Struthio camelus: one gene and its partner. The protein of the gene in region 1 purifies or fractionates together with the protein of each later gene. This does not show direct contact. Links are inferred from orthologs where the notes say so. Each region holds a gene or a part of one and is shown on either strand. Other genes may lie near its edges.

Region 1 (11,762 bases):
CCTTGTTCTGTGTTGGTCATTTGTGCATGTGACTGCTACTACTTAGTTGGAAGGTGCTGAGCAAATGTTTTTCATTTCTGTGGCTACAAGACAAATGCATTGTCTTCACCAGCTTACCCCATATCACAGAGTAACTTCCCTCTGATCGTTTCAGGTGTGTCATGAGTATTTCTTATCTGTTCACAGTGAGAAGTTTCTACTGATGACAGATAAAACACAAAAATGCCTTCCTGACCATTTTTCTCTTTAGGTATCAGATGAGGATGAGATCCTGCCTCATAAGCTCCAGGCTGCACTTGAACAAATCTTGGAGGAACGAAATGAAATCTTGTCTCAAGAGCAGAGTAGCACACAAGGTACTTGTACGGAAAAGTCTACACATAGAGTATATGTCTACAGTAGACTATATGACTCTTCCTCAGAAGAGGACTGTCCAAAATGATGACTATAGAGGGAAATGATTCCTCTGTTGACCTTTTCACAGGTGATATGCCTCTTAACTCCCTGGTCTCTGAAGCTTTTGTGCGCTTCTTTGTGGAGATTGTTGGACACTACTCCCTACACATGAACGTCACAGAAAAAGGGGAGAGAGTGTTTCAGCGGGAGTTGTTCCGAAAATCTCATATGTCACGCAATGTGCGTCACTTCCTGCACTTGTTCATGGAAACACAGATGTTTGCAGGGTTCATACAAGATCGAGAGCTGAGTAAGAGCATGGTCAGAGGTGAGGTTTGATACTAATTTCTCGTTTTGCAAAGTAACTTTCAAAGTATAACGTCGCATCACTTTGATTCTTAAGGAGCCTTCTGTCCTGGCAGGTTACCCTGTTGCCCCCGGGGCAAATGTAATGCAGATGTGGTGTCTAACGGCTCAGCAGAATGCATCTTGTTAAGCAAAGAGTTTTTGTATCTGTCTCCTCTCTAGGCTTGATCCTGCAGCTGATATTACAGGCACAATTTTCTTTTCACAATCTTGTTAATGATTTGAGATGCCACGTGCTAAGAAATGGGAATAGCTGAGTGATATTTTTCTTCTCCAGGTCTTTTTGAGGTCCGTGCCTTGGAGTATTTGGAGAGTATTCCAGAGACTGGACCAAGTGGAATGAACAAAATCCTTCGCAGTCTTGGTAAAGAGGCAGCTTTGGTATTTTGGTTGGATAATCTTTTTTCATAAACATGGCTATTGAACAAATAATTTTAAGCAAAAGAGTGCACTCTTTGCCTCATGCACTTTTACTTGTTTGACCTATGCTGAGCACTTTGTAATTTTTTATTTTTAAAATATTCATATAAAATGATAAAAATATAAATATAATTTATATAATTAATGTAAATAAAATATTTATATTTACTAAATATAAATTATATAATATTTATATGCTTTTCAAGCTTTTCCATCTCTCGATACAGTTTGTGGTAGCTGTCTAATCCCAGAGCTGCCTGCCACGCTGCAGGGGCATGCGCCTCTTTCCCGGCAGCGGCGGCCACGCGCGAATGTCTGCCTTGAGGCCGGGTTCGCCGCTGGCCGCTGCAGCGTCTCCGCGTCCTAACCGTCTGTTTTCTCTGTAGGAAGCAAAATGCGATTTCTTCAGAAGAAGTGACTGCGGGGCGGCGCCGGCGCGCTCTGCCTCCTCAGTAACGGCCTCCTGACCCGGAAGCTGCTCTCTGCCTCTCCGTCACCGTCCGCGCGCTGCCGGCCGAGCCCGCCGCGAGCCGCGAGGCCCGACCCGGCCCCGGCGAACCCTCGCTCGTCCCCCCAGGCGCAGCCCGTGCCGCCGCGGGTGGGCGGCGGGCGGGGCGGGGCGCGGCGCGGCGCAGGCGCTCTGCGGGGCGCGCAGGCGCAGAGCGGAGCGGATCCGGACATGTCGGGCCCGGGGCTGGTGGCGGGCGATGTGGTAGTGGACGCGCTGCCCTACTTCGACCAGGGCTACGAGGCGCCGGGCGTCCGCGAGGCGGTGAGCGGGGCTGGGGCTGGGGCCGGGGCTGGGGCCGCGGCCGCGCTCGCGCTGCTCCCTGACGTCCCCGTGTGTGCTAGGCCGCCGCATTGGTGGAGGAGGAGACGCGGCGGTACCGGCCGACGAAGAACTACCTCAGCTACCTGCCTGCGCACGACTACAGCGCCTTCGAGGTGAGGAGCGGCGGCCCCGGCCCCGGCCCCGGCCCCGGCCCCGGCCCCGGCCCCGCCGCCTCACCGCCGTGTCCCCGCAGACCGAGATCATGCGGAACGAGTTCGAGCGCCTGGCCGCGCGGCAGCCGCTGGAGCTGCTCAGCATGAAGAGGTGAGCCCCCCCCGGCCGGCCCCCCGGCCACCCCCCCGGCCGGCCCGGACCCTGCGTGCCAGGCCGAGCTGAGCGGGCGGCGCGGTGCGTTGCAGGTACGAGTTGCCGGCCCCCTCCTCCGGGCAGAAGAACGACATCACGGCCTGGCAGGAGTGCGTCAACAACTCCATGGCGCAGCTGGAGCACCAGGCCGTCCGCATCGAGAACCTGGAGCTCATGTCTCAGCACGGCTGCAATGCCTGGAAGGTCTACAACGAGTAAGGTGTTTCGCTGCTTTGTTGAACCTGCTTACAGCTGTAACTTCACTTTCCATGTGTTCCTCATGCTTTTCTGTGTAACTACAACGAGAATCTCATGAACATATCCTGGAACCACTGCAGAATTCCTCTGAGAAAACTCTACGTGCAAGAAACAGCTGTGATCTGAGGAGCCCTCCTTCGTGGCCTAGAAATAGCCTTCGTGGCCTAGAAATAGCCTGTACCTCTTAAATTCAGTACATCTTAAGTCTTGAATTTCGTGAGTTATTGCTTGGGTAGCAGTTGGTTGCTTTTGGACTTATATTGCAGATAGCTGAACCAACTTGCAACAATCTTTAAAATGGTAATTCAGCAGCTGGAAACCAAGATGTGCTACCACTCCTGTTTGGCCTGGAGCCATTTGTGAAATAAAGCTGTGGCAAAAGCTGAATAGAGCTCTAGAAAGTAGGGCTGGAGGAATCATTTAGGCTATTTCAGGCAGGGATTTTTAATACTTGTTTTTAAGAAGAGTTAGCTTAAGCTTCAATTAAGGTGTAGGCAAAAGGAACATGTAGCTTTCTGAGAGGAAGCAAAGGGTTGTTTGTTTAGCTTAGGGAAAAAGGAGACAGGAAGAGGATACATTAACTTTTATAAATATGCTGGGGAGAGAAAAAGAATTGTTTGTGCTCTGACAATATATGAGGGGAAAAAAATGATATAAATTGGTTACAGGTAAGTTTAAGACCTAATAGAATTAGAAGACCATATTTTATTACTTGGTGATGAGGTAATGAAATGTTTCAACAGTATTCTAATCAGAATAGCACAAGTATTCAGTGAGAAGCTTGAAGGTAGAACGTGATTAACTGATGGATTTAGCTTTATGTTATGATTATCTGATAGCAAGGGGTGAACGTGGTAATTATTGAAGATTTATGTCTTAAATTGCGTATATTACTACAGAAGCGTTGAGGTGTTACGTGTCATGCTCCTCGGGAGTGAAGAGCACAGACTGCACTGAGAACAGATTGTCTGATATTTGCACTGTTACCAGCTTGTTCCTTGCTTAACTCTGAAGATTTAAACGGTAGGTTAAATGGGTGAATATGTGTTTTCCTCATACTGTACTTACTGTTCTGCTATTAGGCACCTGGTTCATATGATAGAACAAGCCCAGAAAGAACTTCAGAAGTTGAGGTGAGTCATTGTTTTTCATAGTCTTGTACTGAAGATGGAAGGAATACGAATTCCTCCTGTAGCTACGCAGAGAGGCTTGTGTGTATGCTGCTGCCACTGTCAGGAAAGACGACCTAGAATAGTAAGTGGGGGGGGGTCTACCCCCTGCCCCGCCCCAGACTTATCTTTATAATACCTGTTCTGCCTTGTGTGTGTGTGTGTGAACCTCTGCTTCGAGCAGAATGAATTGTGGAGGATCGAGCAGAATGAATTGTGGTGGGATCCTCTCTCAAACTCCGTCGTGTTTTGTTTTCACTGTTAATAGACCTTTGTTTGGTATGCAGTTGTCTCAGTGGAGACATGCTGGCTGAGGTTAAGTTTGGCCTCTCAATTAAAAGTGAATGCTTTAATGAGTTAATAGACAGGGATTGCTCACTGATGGAGTAGTAGGATATCAAAGTGGTGCACGTTAGTAACTCATTTTATTTAGGCAGGATGCTATGGACTATGCAAATAAGAGCTTTTCAGCTTTCGGATTCAGGTGAACTACTGTAATTTTCAGTATCTTCAACCTGAAGATGGGACTGCATACTGAGATGTGCATAGAAAACCAGGTTGCATAGCAAGTTGTATCTTTTATCATTACCTGCTTCTTTGGGTTAGCTGGAGTTAGCGTCTTGGACAGAATCAGTGCGGGAATCAGTGCGAGAGTCGATAGAAGGAGGATTCCTGAGTTGGGAAAGGCTAAAGGAACACACTGAGGCAGAAAAAGGAGGCTAACAGAATAAGAGCTTTAGCAACATGAACTAAAATTAATTTGGTCTCCTGAGTGGTTGGAAGTATTCGGCACTTCTCGGGTGCTTCACTGAATTACTGGATATCGTGAATGGTTAGCAGATCAGCTTAGCTCTTCTGACCTTTTCCAGAGAGAACAAAACAGAGCTGCTGGGCTCTGGGCTCGGCCAGCTTTTGCATTTCCTGCTGTAGCAGAAGATTTGAGTTTTTGAACTTTTGTTCATAGTAGGATGTTAATTTTTTTTTTTTCCTTAAACTTATTTTGTGGTTCTGTGTGCAGCCCTGTACTAGGCTTTTTCCATCTGTATGTGGTAGTTAGGATCCTGGCTACACAAGTGCTTTCTGGTAGTACTTCTAGGGTTTAGGTGTATTTCAAGATTTAACAGTAGATCTTACAAATTAAAAAAAAAAAAAAAAAAGAAAGCAAAGAATATAATCTTTTCTCCCTCAGGAAAAACATTCAAGATCTGAACTGGCAACGAAAGAACATGCAGCTCACGGCTGGGGCTAAGCTACGAGAAATGGAATCTACGTGAGTATCTAGAATTTTTACTTTAAATCTTCCATAAGTATATCTTTTGTGTGAAATTCTTGGAGAACGTCAATAGTCTTTCAGTGCTCTCATAAGATGTTTTCACGGGAATACTAGTTCTCCATACAAAGTTTTTTTAAAGGATGCATGATTCAGTTCCACATAATAGTTATTGTGGTTGAATGAAACAGTGAGCAACAGATGTGAGAAGTAGGGCATATTAGGTCCTTGAAATTGCCTGTGTAAATTGTTTCTTAAACCCTTCTTTATCTAAATATTGGAAGTCAATGTTTTTGAGCCTTTTTTTCCTTATAACCTAGTATGTGAAGTTTTGTATGTTAAGGTTTAACAGAGCTAAGCTAAACCTTAACCTAAGAGAGTTAAGGTTTAACTTTTGTCGCTTTAGTTGTCCAAATTACCATTGATGTCAACAGAGGTTTATTATCTACTGAGAAAAATACTTTTGTATTTAGCGTCTTCACTTTTTTTTGAATCAATAACTAACGTGTTCCTCTGATTTTAAAAAGGGGGATTGTTTAAGCGCAAATACCACTTAAAGGCTTTTTGTTTTTATTCTCTTCCAGATGGGTGTCTCTTGTCAGTAAAAATTATGAGATTGAACGAACTATTGTGCAGCTAGAAAATGAAATTTCACAGATCAAACAACAGCATGGGGAAGCAAACAAGGAGAACATCCAGCAAGACTTCTGAGGGTTTAATCCTTACTGTTTTACTTGTTTTAAAATATGCTGCAGTATTTGAAGATGCTACGTGTTTTTAGACCGCTAATTGCAGTTGTGTAAGGTGATGGAAAAAATACCTTTCTAAGTGTTGTTGACCCTACCTCCTCCTAGAAAATGAGGAAGACTCAGAATATATTGTTCAAGTATATTATAAGCACAGTTAAGTGTACTGTGAATTATTTCACATTTTATATACGGTGCCGTGGTTCTTAGAATTGTTTCATGTTTTTGCATTTTTCCCAAGGCCTGAACTAAACCTCCTTTTGCTCTTTGTATGCCCTTTGCTGCGATGTCACAAAACAACTCGAGTCGTGTCAGGCAAAAGACTCTGCCAAATAAAACCCCTTAACACTATTCTTGTTGGCGCCTGTTGGGGCCGGGGCCGGCTGAGGGGCGGCGGGCCGTGAGGGGGCCGCACCTGCCTGTGGCGCTGCCCGGAGCTGGCGCGGGGCCCTCAGGAGCCGCGCGCCGCCGCCGCTCCCGCCTCCCGGGGCGGGGGGAGGGGAGGGCGGTGCGCGGCGGCCCGCCCCCGCTGCCCGTTGGCTGGGGGACCGTTGCCGCAGGCCAATCGGACGTCGCGGCGAGCTCACGCCGCGACCGGGTTGCCCGCCCCGCCGGGGGCCAGGCGCATGCGCCGCCCTCGTCGCGCTACGTCACGCCTCGTCTCTCCGGGCGTCCCCCTTAAGGCAGAGCGCGCGCTCCTCGCGCCGCCTTCGGGACGCCGCGACCGCGCCTGCGCCGCCTCGGGCGCGTGCCCGCCTCCCCACCGCGGCGCGCGGTGACGCTGTGCGTGCGTGCGTGCGTGCGCGCGCGCAGGCGCGGAGCGGTGCGTGCGCGGAGCGGGGAGTTGGGTTCAAAGGAGGAAACATGGCGGAAAACAAAGGCGGCGGCGGCGGTGGGGAGGGGGCCGCGGAGGCTGGGCCGGGCGGAGGCGGCGGCCTGGAGCCCGCCGCCGCGTCCCCCTCGGGCGCCGCGCCGCCCGCGCCCGCCGCCGCGCCGCCCGAGGAGCGGGAGAGCCCGGGCGCGGCGGCGGCGGCGGCGGCGGTAGCAGCGGAGCGCGGTCCCGGGGAGGCGGAGGCCGAGGCGGCGGCGGGGCCCGGGGCCGCCCCGGGGCCGGGCCCTAGCCCCGTGCCGCCGCTGACGCCGGCGGCGCCGGGGCCCTTCTCGCTGCTGGACACCTGCGCCGTGTGCGCGCAGAGCCTGCAGAGCCGGCGCGAGGCCGAGCCCAAGCTGCTGCCCTGCCTGCACTCCTTCTGCCGGCGCTGCCTGCCCGAGCCCGAGCGGCAGCTCAGCGTGCCCGTGCCCGGCGGGGCCAACGGCGACATCCAGCAAGGTGAGCGCCGCCCCGCGCTGCTCCCTCGCCGGCCGGCCTTCCCCGGCGGCCGGGCGTCCCCGGGGCGAGTCCTGCCTTCGCCCCGGCTTCCTGCCTGGCCAGACCCGGAGAGATTTCGTACGCGATCGCCGGTGTTTCTGTTGCCGTAATCCTCACGACACGCGTATGCGGCGTGCTTCGTGTTTCCGAGTCACGGCCGAGACTTGGAAGTTGGTCTGCGTATTTGGGAATGGTAGCGTAAATCGGGTTGCGTGTTTTGTTTTGACTTTCAGGGATGCTATGTTAGAGGCATATCCATGAGATGCTCGACTGTTCGCTTCTACAGCGCCTGAAAAAAAATTTGTCTAAGTGACGTTTGGTTCACTGTTGGTATAGGGTTATGTGCTCAATGAGAAGTGGTATGTGTAGTACACCTACTTCCAGATACGTGTTTCCAGCTTCCTGTGTGTGTAGTTAAAACACTCATAGCCTTACTTATCGGTTGCCTTGCCTCTGTGCTCTGTGCATACACAGGTATTGTGCTATGGGACAAGTACAGTCTTCTCTTTCCACATCCTTTTGTTGAAATCACAACTGGAATTTGACTTTTTGTATTTGTTTTCATGTTCAGAGATGGAATTGTAAAGCTTCCAGAGCTTTTAGTAGAGTGATTCACATGCTGTAGTCTACGGACCGAACTAGGGCCCTGGTAAGTGGTTTTGTAGCTCTTAACCGGTCCCTGTGGTCAAAGGGACCCTATTTGGCGACATCTTTCTGGTTTTAGCAACAACTCGAGTCTTTCCTATGTTGCTCAGTGGTGTGTTGGTAAGGAGTTAACTTGGAGTAGTAGTGGTCCTTTTATACAAAATGTTCAGAAACTGTTCCTCTGGGATATGGTCTTAGAAGGTCCATCAGTTTTAAAGAGATGATATATTAAATGTACTTTAAACAGGCTGACTAAAGCACTTGATTGGTCTTATGATCCCTTTTGTTAAGGTCTAGTTCTGCATTTTGCATGATGTATATATTAAAAGATACAGGAGCGGCGAAGCTAGGTTTATATTCTAGGAATAAGTGGCATTAAAGGAACATGTCTGTTAAGGTACAGATGCAGGAAAAAAAATGAATTGCAACTTCTGAAGTAAATATTAACTGGAATATCGGTTCCTATCGTACACGTTTTAAGAACGCTGGATTGTGTGCTTTGGTGACATAAGTATTCAGCGTTTGATTGGTTCATCAAGAACTTTTAGCCGGCCTGAGCAAGATGTGCATGTAGGTAATGATGGTCCAACTGTGATGGTATGTAAGTCTGTATGATTAGATTTATTAGTCCAGTGAGTCACTTGAGAACAAAGCATTGACCAGCTAGAACTGCAGATAAAACTGCTGTTTTGTAGACAGCTCTCTCTGCATGTTGCCAGTGGAATCAGTTGGATGGCGAATGAAACGCTCTACAGGAAAATGAGGTAAAAGTGGACGTTCTCAACCTACAGAGAAGTACTGCGTCGCTCAGTCATGTGGATTCCTTCCCAGCTGGCATAGATTATGTCAGTCAGGAATCCTAGTGTTACTTTCACTTCTGCTGCTTCTGTACTTTCCCTAACTTTTAAATGTAATTCTCTAGTTTTTAAAGGCTTTTGTTACCTTGCTGTAAGCAAATACTGTTTTCCTGAAGGAAGGATTAATGGGAAATGATACCTATAGCTATACCTGAAGCAGGTTACACTTACCTGCAGGCGCTCACTGCTGGATTATATGCTGTACTATTTTATATGCATCTAAAACTGCCTGCTATTTTTCAGGTACTCTACAGCTAGATAAAAGAATTACAGATGCCTTGAAAAACTGCTGTGGCTTTTTTTTTTTCCCTGGTATTTTTCTGGTTACTTTCTTAATTTAGTTTCAGGTTTTGCTCCTTAAGAACTGTCACTACTTAAAATACTAAATATATATATATTTATTGGATAGTAACTGTGGAAGCTGCCTACCAGGAGCTGAGTGCAAGGTCAGTACCTACATAGCAGCTCTGACGGCAGTGTGCTGCTCTCGCAGAGAGAACAGGAAAGATGCTTGGAGGCAGTAATTGCAACGGGTCCATACGAGGATCTCCTCTCCTACCACATTGTCTCGCCCTTGAGGGATACTACTGTCGAGGACAGAAAAATGGTCTTGGTTCCTAAAAGTCTGAGAAACACTGACCAAAGTTAAAAATAATTCTCCAAAGTTCTGGTTTGCTATAGTATGAGAAGTAACTGGTGGTTTCCTACCTGTTGCACTGCTGAATGAAATGCTTTGCTGTGGTATATGTTTATGTTGAAGATCACTTAGAAATTTCTATGTTGTAATAATACAGAAGAAAAATAGTATCTCTTATTCATTTTAATGACTTTATAGGTCATTAAAGTATGCATTTTATTGGATAGAGAGTTGAATTCTCACTATCTGCTGTATCAGCTGTCCAGCTAGACTATTTCTTTTAGTTTGAATAGAAACCTAAAAGAAAATGCCTCCTTCTGTTAGGTATTACACTATTCTGAAAAATGAATATTTTTAAGTTAGAGATTTTAGAAAATTAAAGAGACTGCAAAGCAACTTTTTAATGCACTTACTGTTTTTATTCCTGGGAAGATAGGTTGTTTTGAAATTTCACTGCCTCACAGAGGTATTTACAATCTTTCTTAAGAAGATTATCTCAGTAAAGAGAATGTGTGGTTCTCCCAGCTCCTTGTGAATGTCACAATCTGGCAGGCCTTCATTAGGCTGCTGAAAAGGTAGAAAATGAGCTACAAGATAACTTTCAGAGAGCTTACAGAAAACGTAGACAATGGATTTATGTGTGTGTATGTATAAGTAGAGCAACAATACGTTTAATACTGGGAGTGCTGTAATATATAGTATTGTAAATTGTTTTGAAATGCTGAATTCGACTCCCATATGTAGAGTGTGTGTTCAGAAAAATTATATTAAGTCCCATCTTAAATTATGCAGTAATTCTATTTTTATTTGCTTTGGAAGGGGGGATACATCACGTTCTCACAGACATGATATAATTTATATATAACTTAATCTGAGTTTGGTAGTAGTTGTTGTATTTTCAGTCAGGAAAGTTGAAAATTCCCACTTTGAATGGACTGCTTAAGCTATGCAAATGCCTCCAGTCTTATTTTCAGTGAATGTCAGCACAATCCAGCATCATTCCTGTACCTGAGCTCTTTTGACTCTTCATGGCTTTCTTCTGCGTTGGTGAGACAGGGACATAAATATATGCTGGAGCACAACAGAGGTAGAGTTCTGAAAAATATTCAATTCATATTCTGGAGGTATTAAAAATCTTTGTCTGAAATATAAATTTCAGTCTATATTAATAGTGTATTTTAATATAATGTTTTTGTTTGAGTATGCTCTAGGCACCTGTTATTTTTATAATAGCGCTAGAATTGATGTCTGTGACTGCTACAGATTGTTTTTCTATATTAAGTATGATATGTTACCAGTTCCATTCATGACAGTTATGATAAAAGTAGGCATTGTTTGATTTAAAAAAAGTGAAGAAGCTGAGTTAGGAGTAGAGCTTCAAAGTAGTTTTTTTTTTGAAATGTATTTTGATAGATTGTGCCACTTGTTTGACCTGTGTGAATTTATTTGACTGTCTGACTAGTGAAACTAGAACAGATGTTTTGATGTGTGGCTATTCGGAAATACATATCTGATGAACACTCAAATTGCTGAGGGAAGTGAATATTATGCATGTGCAGTAACTACTGTTGGTGTTTGCAACCAGTAAGTGAAACCTGGTAGAGATTCATTCCTTAGAGGACTGCATACATGCCAAATTTAACTTAAAACGGAAGTTTCAGTTATTAGATCACAGAAGTGCTTGCAAATATTTCCTGAAGTGTGAAGCTTTTTTATCGTCATTATCGCAATGTAAACATCTGAAGGGATTTTGAATTTACTTTTATTCACTCAGTACTTTTGCATTGACACTTTTCAACCCAAAGCAGATATGTATGCTTAAGAACAGATGTCTAAAATGATCCTGTTCTCTCAAACGTTAATTAGGATTATGCAAGGTTGAAGGCTTGATTGTCAGGGGACGCCTTGGTAGAGTTTTAGTCTAGTGCTAATTGAGGTGATGTCTCATTAGTATCAACAGAAAATCTAAGTCATTTCTTTAAAATGAATATTCTTGAAAGATCACAGAATCACATAGGCTGGAAGGGACCTCCAGAGGTCTCTAGCCCAACCTCTTGCTCAAAGAGGTCCAGGTAGAGGAGGTTGCTTAGGGCTTTGTCCAGTTGAGTTTTGACTATATACTAGGATGGCAGCTTCACAGTGTCCCTTGCTCCAGCTCATGTTGTTACTGCTGATCCCTTCCATGGTGCACCTCTAGGAGGATTTGGTTTGAGTCAGTCTTCAGTGCATTCCCCCCCCCCCAGTCTGGTAGCCGTAGACAGCAGCCGGGTCCCCCCGTCCAGGCTAAACGAGGCTGTTCCCTGCAGCCTCTCCTGTGTTGTGGGCTTCAGCCCTCGCTGGCTTGGGGGCCCCTGCTGGGCTTGCCCCCACGTGTCGGTGTCTGCCCTGCGCTGCGGTGTCCCACACTGCACCCTGTGTCCAGGTGTGGTTTCCCAAAGTGCTGAATGGAGCGAAAGGACCACTCCCTGGACCTGCTGGCTGTACCTGCTCA
Region 2 (12,128 bases), on another chromosome or scaffold:
TTTTGTCTTTGTTGCTTGTTAGCTCCAAGGGGAGAGATTGCATGAGTACACAGTAGTGACATAGCATGGTATTTGGTTCATACCTTGTAACATGAGTAGGAAATTCTTCTAAAGTACTGGGCTGAATTTTCAAGACTGGGAAGTGATTGGAGGTGCCTCAATTCTGGGAAAGCTTTGATCCTCCACACTGTTGAAAATCAGATTCCTGTGAATACCTCAAACGGTGTATTTTCCAATATTAAAATATCAGAGTAAAACCTACTTTTAAAGAGCAGCTAACAACTTTAACACTTTTAGTTCCTGTGAAATTAACTGCTCACATGCAGTTTTAAAATTGTGGTTAATGCTGAAGTGCTTAGCCTATGACTACTACGCCCACGTGACTAGTTTAGGCGTCAGAATTTAACTGATATTAAACTTTGAAGTTACTTTAAAAAAATCCCTCTCTACAGTGACTTAATTTCATATGGGGTATTAAGTAAAATGGGTTTATAGAGGGAAGTGCATTTCTGCTGTTCATCACAGAAGTGTAGTACTGTTTTTCGTGCTTAAGGCAAAAATTATTTTTTTGTATAGATAATGTTTCAGAAAATATACTTTTTCTATTTATGTTTCTAACCGTTAAGAATATCACTGAGTTAACAGTGATAGGCGTCTTAAATGACCGTAAGTCCATTTTTAAGCTGTTTTCCTTTTCTCCAAAGTGCCAGGATATTAACAGGTATGTTTCATTGGTTGAACATAGAGCAACTGTCAAATATTCAGGAGGGAAACTGGGTGTAAACAATCAAGTGCAGTAGGTTTTATCTTCGCAGAAAGCGTCTGCATCAGAAGCCTGATGTGTTCATGTGGAGTAACCTCCTTTTTGTATACGAACTTGGTTTTTATGGGTGCTCTGCTAATTAATATTGTTGCTATTATTTTCCTGTTTCACACGGAACGTGGTCTTGGACGTTGTTGTGTAATCATTCCCTTTATTTGTGCACACTTTTTACTTTAAATAAAACATTTATATTAGGCCTCTGTGTATTAACCTCAGAAAAATGCTGTGAAACACTGGGATTTGCTTGGGATCGTTGGATGACCCTTAACTATCCAACTCCCACAGAAGGAGTGTTGTTCTAGTCTTACCAGTGGGTTGGTTGATTTGTTTGTTTTTTTTCCTAGAAGAGAGAGCCCAGCTTGACCGTTGCAACCGAAGCAAGGCAGCCCCATGCCTGGGGTACCCAGATATGTCTTAGAATGCAGGCTCCCCTCTAATAGGCTTAGGCAGCCTCACTTAATCTTTCTCTATGGAGAAAAAGCATCATGATAGGTTTTGTATTGATTTAGCTTTCCTTCCAACACCAGTGATGAAAGAAAGCTAACTTAGTGAGGCTTTCAGTAAGCTGTGTAGATGCAAAAGGCTTCAAGTAAAATACACAATGCAATTCTAGCTTGTTTGACCAAAGACCTCTTTTAGCTGGAGCTTCTAAGATGTCATCTCAGCTGTGAGAGCTGGGGCTTTGGAGTTTACAGCAACATTGCATCTGTTATGCTTATTTCTGCATGATTTCTCCCTTTGTTTCTCTAATTCCTCCCCGACGTTCCCTCAGATTTATGGCACAGAGGGCAAGGGCACTTACCAATGCTGTTACACATATGGTGTTTTAGTGTAGCTGTATTTTAGTATTTGTACATTTATATTTTAAAAGAGATTTCCCTTTGCAAGCTGGCTTGTTATTGGAAGTATGTATCAGCATTCCTAGATAAATGCTACAGATGGTTGCATGTCTTAAATACCTAACCTCCCAACACGCACACTTCTTGTTCCTGTTCGGTTGGGTGGCCAACTGCTGTCTGTTCAGTCTGAGCAGTTGTTTATATTAAGACACTATTTTAAAAAAAAAAAAAAAAAAAGCTTGTATAAACTGTATGTACATGGTAACTTAATTACTAATCTTGCATTCTCACTTCATGATGGACTTCATAATTACGCAGTTTAGGCAAGACAGGTATGTGAAACTGCCTATAGATTAATGATGTTTTCCTGAGAAGGCAGAGTGAGGGATTGGAGCCCCTTTTTTCAGAAGAGGATGTTACCACATCTTGTATTTTCTTGACAAGAGCTCAAATGATTAAGTTTTTTTAAGACTTTTTTTCTGATTATGATTTAAAATAAAGGGATCCAAACTGCACACTTGAGATGCATGCTTTTTGTCACTATGCATTTAATCACCAAAGATAAAAGGCTGAGAAGGCATTTATCTTCTGGATCTGTGTGGCTTTTGTGGGAGGTGGGCTTTTTTAGATGTAAATAGAACCAGAAATCTGTTGTGTCTGTATTTGGCTTTTAAGCTTGAAGAAAGTGTCTCGGCTTGTGTCCCTTTTAAAGTCGTGTCTACACAACAAACTTCTGGCGAAACAGCTGAATTTTGACCACAATTTTAGATGTAGAAACTAAATCATAGATTCAATTCTTTATTAGATGTAGTGTTTTGTACGTACCTGTTTCCATAACTCTTCCATAACTTGTCCCGTAAGACACTGAACGTGCAAAAATCCATCAATTTTTCTTTTACAATAAGGTCTGTAATAGGGTATCTGTAATACATCATATCTGCATTACTTAATCTGTCGTAGTACGTTTCACAAATATATTAAGATTGGTCTTCAGTATTATACCGTTGTCACTAAAATGACTTTTATCTGTGTAAAATGTACATGCTCCTGTCTTCTGAGAAGAAAACATAATTTTTGTGTTTTGGACAGTGTTAAATTTTACTCTTTAATAACTTCAGAGATGGCATGTATGGAAAGGAACATTAAAACAAATGCTTAACTTTCTCTTCCTACAGAAAATCCCATTTGCTCATAAATGTGCAGCTTGAGTCTTATTCATAAAAGTGTGACAAAATTCTTTACACATTTAGCAGTTTGACAACAAGTTAGTATCTGTGTTAACCGGCTTAACTGAAAGATCATTTTATTTTAAGTCTTAATATGTTATTTGGCACTTCATTTTATATGCGGTAGTTTAAAGGATTTTTTTTTTTTTTAATCTGCCCTTAGAAATGCAGATTAGTTTGTCTCACTTGCTTCTCTTCCTAGTGTGGAAGAGGCATCACCACCAGAGACTGTCAAAGGTGGCCTGCAAGGAATTAAAAGCAGTTAGTGTCAGGGAAGAACAGCTCTTTTTTAACACTTTTCTTTGCTTTATGATATTTTGGAGGCATGTATTTTTCAATGCGTCCTGCTTACTATTATTTTAGAAATATATGGAATGATACATTTTCTGGGGAACGTCTTGGTTTATTTTATTTACTATTATGGCTCTCTCTTTTGATTTTAACTGGAAATGAAACTTTTGTGGTCACTTCTTAGTTGTCAAGTAAAAATAGGATGTTTTTATCTTTTAAAATAACTCTCTCTGGGAGCTGACCTAGAAGAGTAAAGACAAATTCTGTGTGGGTTGCACTGGTTTTAAAGCTAAGGTGTTTAAACAAAGCAGCTGAAAGTGCTAAATGTGAGTTACATTTTAAGACAACCTTAAATGTTAATTTAATAAGATTCCAAAAAACTTGAGCACCTCTTGAAAATCCAGAGAGGTTAGTAATAAAAGTAAAATCCCTCCCAGGCTCTGTTAGTGCGATTTCTTCAGTGCTAAAAAGATCTGTAGGTAAGATTTTAGTTTAGTTACGTCGTACCTCTGGTACCAAAGTGCTTTTCATAGTCGACAGTCAAGGCTCTAGGTAGAGTTCACGGTTTAGTAGACTATCTTCTACCTACGAACGTTGTCTTATGCTGCCTGATGATGTAGCGCTGTAACAACACTTCTGTTTCACCACAGTAGTTACCAAAATTTGCAGCTTGAAATGAAAAATGTGCAGAATTTTTAAACCCAAATTAAACAATGACACCTAATTCCTAAGCTTACGTGCCCTCAGCAGGTGTAATATCCACCTACAAATGTTGTCTTGCTTATGTCCTCCGATCATTGCAGGTACGATGCTATGAATCTTCCATGCTCTTGAGTTATATACAATTGAAATATGACACAGTGCATTTCAATGGTTGGCTATTTGGAGAGAAATTTTTGATCAAATCCTAGACTCTTACAGGGTAGAAAAGAGATAGGAATGTCCAGAATGTTTAGATAATAGAATCACTGGTCAGTGTTTTTCAAGATCAGCCCCCCAAACTGGTAGATTCAGAAGCCTTTTTAATTCTACTAAAATGTTGTGGCTATTAAGCCCCGTATCTACTTAATAAGTAAGTACAGAGTATTAGTACTCTTCCGGAATGGGTGTACTTTTCCATAAAATTATTTGCTGTCCTAGCCTCAGACATTTTACTGTGGAAGAATAAAGAATAAAGGCAATTGAGATCAAACATAAATGCACTCTTGCATTTTCTCCATCACTTTCCCTCCGTCTCAGTAATACACACCCTTCTTGCCCTGTAAAAAAGCAGTTCTCGTTTTCATGTAAGGGTAGCAATTGTACTCCTGCAGCTGCTCTGCATCTTGCACTGTTTGCTTAACTATAAATGGAGAAAAATACCAGTCTTCATAAAATCCTTCCACAGAATCATTACATGAAAAAATCCTCCTCTTTTTAAAACTTTTTTCTTTCTAAGGCTGCAAAAGCTTGTGTTTGACATAGCAGCCAAAAGGTGAGACAAGACTTGCAGAGTCCTACGTAATTCTGTTTTGCTGCAGGCTAGAGAAGAGCATTAGAGAAGTACCAGGGTACTGCAAATTACTGCACAATGTTATAACCATGTTTAAATGAATTCTAACACTTCCCTACTTTGAAAAGTAAAAAAGACTAGATATAAAACTGCATATTGAGGTGGCATGATGTGTGTTTATTAACCACAGGGTGTTGCTGGATTAGATCAAACTCACTCAGGTGCAAAGATGAACCAAGAATAGGTTTATGGTCCTGGATCCGTGAAACTTACTTAAAATTAAGTACACGAATCCTATTTGCAGTGAATCTCAAGTGGTTGGACAGTACAGAGGCATCAGTCTCGGTTATCTTTCGGCCCATAAAACTCAGTCATGCATGAGCCTCTGCTCATGCTCTTATATGTACAGATTTCAGCTGAGATTCCGCTGCTATAGAGGAGTTACAGAGATGAAGTCTGGCAAAAAGAGCTAGAAAATAGTAGGGTAAATTAAAGTAAGGAAAAATGTACTCCCCATAATGGTAGTAGTTAATATGTTAAATGCTCCCTGAGGAATGGCTGAGTCGATCTTTAGTGGCTTATAATAAAAGCAGAGAAACACAAGGAGGATGGAAAAGGGCAAAAAGCGGAGTACTGAAGGGACAAACAATGAGTTTCTCCAATACTTGTGTTCTTCCCAAAGTTTAAATCTTGGTTCCAATTTTTGGAAAGCTTTCATCTTTACTTTGGCCTATATGGAGTGGCAGGAATTTATGCCTTCCTTTTCCTTCTCTGCTCTCTCTGTAGTCTATGAAAAGACAAGTTACGTTTTTCTATAGGCATCGAAGTGTCTGTGAAGTGTGTCTATTTCAAAGAGCTGAGAAAGTGCTCTTAATTTCAAGTAATTGGGACGTTCACATGCTTCAACATGCTTCAGGCTTCTTTGTGGTACCTCTTCATTGGTAGGAAAGCCTTACTTCTGCCTGAGGGTGCCACAATAACAGCAACAGTAAAACAACGATCCTTGTGATGACACCTTCTGCCGAATGTAAAAATTGAGGTCGTGCTCTATTTCGGATTTTTGATTCTTTCATCTCTACCTGAATTCTTTAATAATAGAAAGGTCAAGTGGTTTTCTCTAGGCTTTAGCAAATAACTATAACCATTATCGTCTTTGTGATCACAGAGTTATTGTTAAAAGCCCAGACGCAGCTGTTTATACAGTTATTCTAAACCCTCTTCTGCTGTTTAAACTGTCAGCAATTTATTATTTTTGCAATATAAAGCACCACGCGTCCTAATGACTGCATTAGCTGCTGTGCAAACATATGGGAAGATGGTTTCTGCCTACAGATGTGTGACCACTGAAGAGTAACATCAAGGGCAAAGCTTGGAAATAAAATAACACCTCCGATCACGGGGCTGACAAGAGAAAAGTCACAAATTGCTTATGCGCAAACACATTAAGCGCTATGTAATTTAGAGAGGTTGTTTTTTTTTTTAGAAATCTAAAAAAAATTATATGTTGCCAATTGTCATTAGAAGAAAACGTTGTGGGTAGCACAAGTGACCTGGTATTTTAAGAGTTGAAAGGTGATTCGAGAAGCAGCTTTACAGGGGTGAACCATGCCTGCACGGAGGACCTCTAACCAAAGTCAAGAGTTGAAGTGTATCAAGCTAAATATGCTCTTCAGCAAGAAGAGGGGTTTTGTTTGCTGTTAGCCTTCAGCTTGAACCCGAACGCGGCCGGGCAGCGCTGGGCCGGTCCCGCTCCTCGTCCTGTTAAACACCTTGCAGCAGCGGCTGTGCAGTTGTGCCATTTTAATGTTTTTTTTTCTTTTTTTTTTACGTTCCCTTTGCATCAAAATAAGGATTAAAGGCAACGGCAAACTGGATTTTGCCCTTCAGCTGAAGCGGCAAAATGTCTTTACAAGGAACATGTAACAACAGCTGTGTACGGCAGAAACCCGTCCCCCGTACGCGAGCTGTACAGAGATTAAGCGGGCTCTGGAAAGCAGCTTCTTCCCCTGCCAGCGACAGGACCGAAGTGGGAGACGCTCCATACGTCAACCCCTCTTGGCCGTGACCGCACAGCTTCCGGCTGACTGGGGCTCCAAAACCATCTTTTGACCCGCTCCCCCACGTTTCAGCCGTTCTTCTGAAGGCCCCGGTGCCTCGTGAGGAGCCCGCGGCGCTGCGGGCAGCCCCGGCGGGCACCATCGCGTTTCCCTGCTGCCCTGTCCGCCCTCCTGTTCCGCAGAGGTGGGATTTTTTTTTTTTTTTAAGGCGCCTCGCGTTTTCCCCGCCGTTTGCGCCCTCGTTTTTTCCCCTGTCCCCGCCGCCCGCCCTGACATGGCGCCGCCGCCCGCGCACCCGGGGCGAGCCCCGGCCCCGCCGCCACCAGCCCCGGGGAGCCGTCAGGAAACGGCCGAGACGGGGCAGCCGCGGCGGGGCGAGCCGAGCCGCCGGGCGGGCAGCGCCGCTCCTCCTCCTCCTCCTCCTCCTCCTCCTCCTCCTCCTCCTCCCGCTTTGCGCGGCGACAGGGCGTGTGAGGGCAGCCCGCGGCGCCGCGCCAACCGCCCGAGCCGGCGGCGGCGCCGGGCTGGGAGGCCTCGGCAGGGCGGGGAGGGCTTCCCCTGGCGCGGCTCTCCGAGGGCTGGAGGAAGGTTTCCCCTCCCTCCCCGGCGCGGCGCGGCGCGGCGCGGGCTGTGTGAGGGCGGCGGCGGCGGCTCCGCGCGGGCGGGGGGAGGGGCCGCCCGGGGTTGTCTGAGGGAGCGGCTGGCGCGCGCGTGAGGCGGGGGGGGGAGGGGGAGGGGCGCCCGCTCCCGCCGCGGCCCCAGACAGTGGGCGGGGCTGCGGCGGCGGCGGCGGCGGCTGAGGCCGGCGGGGGGCGGGGGCGGGGGCGGCGCGCGCCGCCGGCGGGTTCGTGCCCGCGCGCCGCCGCCGCCGTCTCCGCCGTCTCCGCCGCCGTCTCCGTCTCCGCAGTGAGGTCACGGGTGGGCGGCGCGAACGCGGCTCCTGTTCCGCTCGTGGGGCGCCGGGGCCCCCGCGGTGCCGGGTGAGGAGCCGGGGAGTCACCGGGGGGGAGGGGGCTCGGCCCGGCGGCGGGGGCCGGGGCCGAGTCGGCGGGGGAGGGGCGCGCCGTGCCTGAGGGGAGGCGGCGTCTGTGGGGGCGCCGCGCGGGGGAAGCCGCTCCTCCCGCGGGGGTGGGGGGGGTAAATTTAGCGCCGGAGGGGGCGGCGGGCGCGGAGAGGGCGGCGGCGGGAGGAGCCGCAGCTGGCGGAGCGGAGCGGGCAGCCGCGGGGCGCTGAGGCCGGCGGCGAGGGGAGAGCCGGGCGCGGGGCCGGCCGGCGCCGGGGAAGCGCCGGTGAGTCACGGAGCGGCGGGCGCGGCGGCCCGGGCCCTTCCGGGAAGGGGGGGGAGGCGGCGGCGGCGGCGGCGGCGGCGGCGGCGGCGGCAGGGGGGGCCCCGGCCCCCGGCCCCGGCGGGAGGGGGCTCGTAGCCCGCCCGCGTTGGCGTTTCTCCCCCGAGTGTTCCCCCCCCCCCCCACACACACCCTGTGAAAGAGAAACCTCGTCCTCCCTCTCCTCTTCTCCGCTTCGCCGCGCTCCCGCCTGTGGGATTTGCCGCACGTTACACGCAGCGCTGTGCGGGCGCTGGGCTGGTGCCGCTGCCAGCTTCGCCCATCTGCCAGGGGCTTATGATGGGGCTTCTGGTTTTTAAACGAAAGCTCTCTGTGCGTTGATGTTTTGTAATTAATTAGGAAGCGTGTCCCTTGTTTGATATGTTGAGCTCGTATTTGAAGACTCTAGTCTCGGGAATTAATGGTTATTAATGACCTCTCTCTCTCTTTTCACAGGTTATCAGGAGAGGTTGACAGAGCTGTGTATTAGCACAAGATGTGCATTTAGCTGATGGCCCGGATCTTATTTGTATTGCTAATAACTCGGGGTGGGAAAAGCCAGGCACACACCGGGGACGTCTGTGCTAAAGGTGACTCTCTAGGGACGTTTAGTTTTTGCCAGCAATCTGGATCAGCCTTTAATTTGGGGATTTATTGGTGAACTGCCATAGTAACTCTAGTGGTGGTGGTGGCGGTGGAATCGTAAACTTGGCTGCCCAATAAATAAAGGCCTTAAGCTTGTGTTTGATCCCTGACAACTGAAGGAGAAGCGGCGAATAAAATTTTCACACAACCAAACTTTATTTGGATCAGTTACACTGAGTTCGACGCTCTTCAGACTGAGACTTGTGGGCATTTTTCTGTTTTGGTATTTAAACAAGAGGCTTGTTTGAAAAGCCAGTATGCTTTTTAAAGGGGAAAAAAGTGACCGAGGATGGATGCTCTTGCATCAACTCATCATTTTTTACTGAAAGACTATACGAAACTACTGTGCAAACTACTGAGTAGGCTACAAAGAAAATCGTTGTATATGCATATTGCAATGTGTTTTGTATAAAAGAAAATTGGACAAATACTTTTAAACCTAAAAGAAAATGTTGTTTACCCTCTCCATTCTTAATTCTGTGGTATTACATGCAAAAGGGGCTACAGTTTTTTGCTCCTGGAGGCTGAAGGATTAACTTACTGAAAGGAGTGCAAAGCTTGGCGTGTGTGAAGTAGTCAAGATCATTTAAAATTGATTTTTGTATTAGCAAGCAGGAAAATGCACACTCTAGATTTGCTTGCTTAAAAGTTCTAGCGTTTAGCAATGGAAAGCCCGCAAACAAACTTCCATCTCGGTCTAGGTTCAGACCAAAAAAGGAGTGGGGTCCACGAGGATGAGAGTCCTCCAATAAAAAAAGTAATGACAGAAATGCATGTAAATAGCAAAGTACGAGTTGTAATAAATAGACTGCCAACAATAAAGAAGGAAAACTTGGATGACTATGATGAAACTCCTGTGGAGGCTGATGGGGAAAACGCCAAGCCAAACAGTGCTTCAATATCTGAGCCTTTGAATTTAAATCCAGGTTTGAAACACACGCTGGCACAGTTCCACTTAAGCAGCCAGAGTTCACTGGGAGGGCCAGCAGCTTTTTCAGCTCGTTATTCCCAGGAAAGTATGTCACCCACTGTCTTCTTGCCTCTTCCATCACCGCAAATACTTTCTGGTCCACTGCTCATTCCTCCAGACAGCTCTACAGAACTCACTCAGACTATATTGGAGGGGGAATCTATTTCTTGTTTTAAAGTTGGAGGAGAAAAGAGACTTTGCCTGCCGCAAGTTTTGAATTCAGTTCTCCGAGACTTTTCATTGCAACAGATTAATACAGTGTGTGACGAGCTGTATATATATTGCTCAAGGTGCACGTCCGACCAGCTTCACATTCTGAAGGTTTTGGGAATTCTTCCATTTAATGCTCCATCCTGTGGGCTAATTACGCTGACTGACGCTCAGAGACTATGCAATGCTTTATTACGTCCTCGCACTTTTCCTCAAAATGGCAGCTTTCTCCCTGCGAAGAGCACATTGGCCCAGTTGAAAGAGTCTGGCAGTGCCTTTGAAGTAGAGCATGAGTGCTTGGGCAAATGCCAGGGTTTGTTTGCACCTCAGTTCTACCTGCAGCCGGATGATCCCTGTATCCAGTGTTTGGAGTGCTATGGAATGTTTTCGCCCCAGACGTTTGTGATGCATTCACATAGATCCCCTGATAAAAGGACCTGTCACTGGGGCTTTGAATCAGCCAAATGGCATTGCTACCTTCATATTAACCAAAAATACTTAGGAACATCGGAGGAGAGGGAACTGAAGCATCTCTTGGAGGAAATGAAGGAGAAATTTAGTGAGAAAAATCAGAAAAGAACTCGGTCCAAAGTAAGTTCACTTACTCTTGTAAATTTCCTTCCGATAACAAGTAAATATTTAGCTTAGAAGTGTGTTATTTGTCTTTGTAAATGTGAATGTTTGTCAAATCAAGTATCGGTTAAATTTATGAGAGTTCTCCACCATGGCGAATAGACTTCTCAGGTTCAAAGGTACAGTAATTTCTTTCCCCGTTGAGCTATAAGTAATTTCATTCAAGCTGGTTTGGTTTTGTTGGTTCTTTTTCTTTTTTTAAATATGCAATCTCTGGAAAATTTAGAGCTATTGTGGACATTTTCTTTCTTCTGTTTGACCTTTGAGTATGTTGTTTTAAACCACGTGTGTTGCAGCAGCTGAGCAAAGCAGAAAGGAACTTGAAAATCAAGTATTGTAAATTAATTCTTCAATTGTTATTTTAACTCCAGCACATACACGAGTGGTGTATGGCTACCTAGCTTGCTCAACACCCAGGAACATCTCATGACTTTGCATGTAGGGTAATGGTGCATTGGTAAGTTGCTATTTAAAAGCCAAGGCTGCTTGTTCGGTAATAGCTTTTTGTTGAACAGGTTGTATAGAGAAATATGCCAAAAAAGGGGGTTTTAAATCACTCCAAGTAATGAGCTGTAGGCCAGTTTCTTGACAATTGTTAATAATGGACATTGTGTTTTTTCCTAAAATACTGCTGCAAGTCTGCACAGTACTTCAAAAATACAGAGCTTATCTTTACCACAGGGAGCTACTAATTTAAATAAAAAGACACGCACCAGGTAAATATTGAACGTTACCGGGGAAATAATTTTATTTTGCTCAAGGAAGAAGATTTTAAGGGGAGATTCAGGGAGCATCCCCATTTTTAGATGAAAATCGGGAAACATTGGGGTCCTGACATCACTGATATTTCCGTGCATGGAATATACAGTTTTATTGGGTATAATCTAAACTTAGAGGTTTTGAAATAGTTCCTCCCCTACCGCTATGTTTAATTGTATTGTATTTGGCATTTATAGGTCTGCTTGCTGACTACTCTTTTGCTTATATATCCATTTTGCCTGTTGGATATTTTGTCATGGGTTTCAAAGTCAGCAGCAGCAAAAGCAATCCAGATAGGTGAGCGTATAAAGTTGGCGCCTTTCAGAACAAACTTCTCCAAAGTTAGTATTGCAGAAAGGCTTACAGAAACAGATAGTTTTACAGTTAAGCTAGTCTGCAGTAAGGGATTTTAGCAGATCAGCTTTGACAAAAGTCTGCAATTTGTCATGCTTTCACATGCCGAATTAGTTGGACATGCAGCAAAGTTCATAGCAAGGAGACTTCACTTTCATCTGATAGACTATCATGATAGTTTTTATTCTTGTAATGCCAATATAGGTAATAAACAATAGCATAGTGGCTACAAGGGGGGAAATAGTCTTCCCTCTTGACCCCCATGAGACCTTTCATGTTGTAGACATTGAAGAGATACTGATTATCTTTTCACTTGGTTTTTGATGTGTATACAGGAAGTTCAAAAACATGAAAGATATCGTGGTCGGAAATCTGCTACTGTGAAACCGAAAGCAGTATTCTGGGAATGCATGTGGAAGATTATTTCCCCTGTTGCATCCCCTATGCTATTGTTTGAACAGATAATGTTATTGAACAGGTCCGTATGAAAGGGAGAAACACTTT

The links.
Region 2: the proteins of TRIM33 (region 1) and SKIL purify together in Homo sapiens (affinity purification with western blotting; 4 studies listed by BioGRID and IntAct, with this or other methods). This does not show direct contact. The link is inferred for Struthio camelus from reciprocal best matches to the Homo sapiens genes TRIM33 and SKIL.

The regions. Positions count from the first base shown.
Region 1 is NC_090965.1:10,032,650-10,044,411, reverse strand, and holds the start of TRIM33 (E3 ubiquitin-protein ligase TRIM33), read left to right. Parts: upstream 1-6,627; coding exon 6,628-7,093; intron 7,094-11,762. Other genes in the region: DENND2C (DENN domain-containing protein 2C), read left to right, coding at 251-356, 485-724, 1,040-1,126, 1,569-1,600; BCAS2 (pre-mRNA-splicing factor SPF27), read left to right, coding at 1,862-1,954, 2,035-2,127, 2,208-2,278, 2,374-2,535, 3,661-3,711, 4,937-5,017, 5,602-5,728. UniProt on the Homo sapiens protein: Acts as an E3 ubiquitin-protein ligase. Promotes SMAD4 ubiquitination, nuclear exclusion and degradation via the ubiquitin proteasome pathway. According to PubMed:16751102, does not promote a decrease in the level of endogenous SMAD4.
Region 2 is NC_090950.1:27,916,821-27,928,948, reverse strand, and holds the start of SKIL (ski-like protein), read left to right. Parts: upstream 1-7,528; 5' UTR 7,529-7,708; intron 7,709-7,964; exon of another isoform or gene 7,965-8,017; intron 8,018-8,509; 5' UTR 8,510-9,362; coding exon 9,363-10,469; intron 10,470-12,128. UniProt on the Homo sapiens protein: May have regulatory role in cell division or differentiation in response to extracellular signals.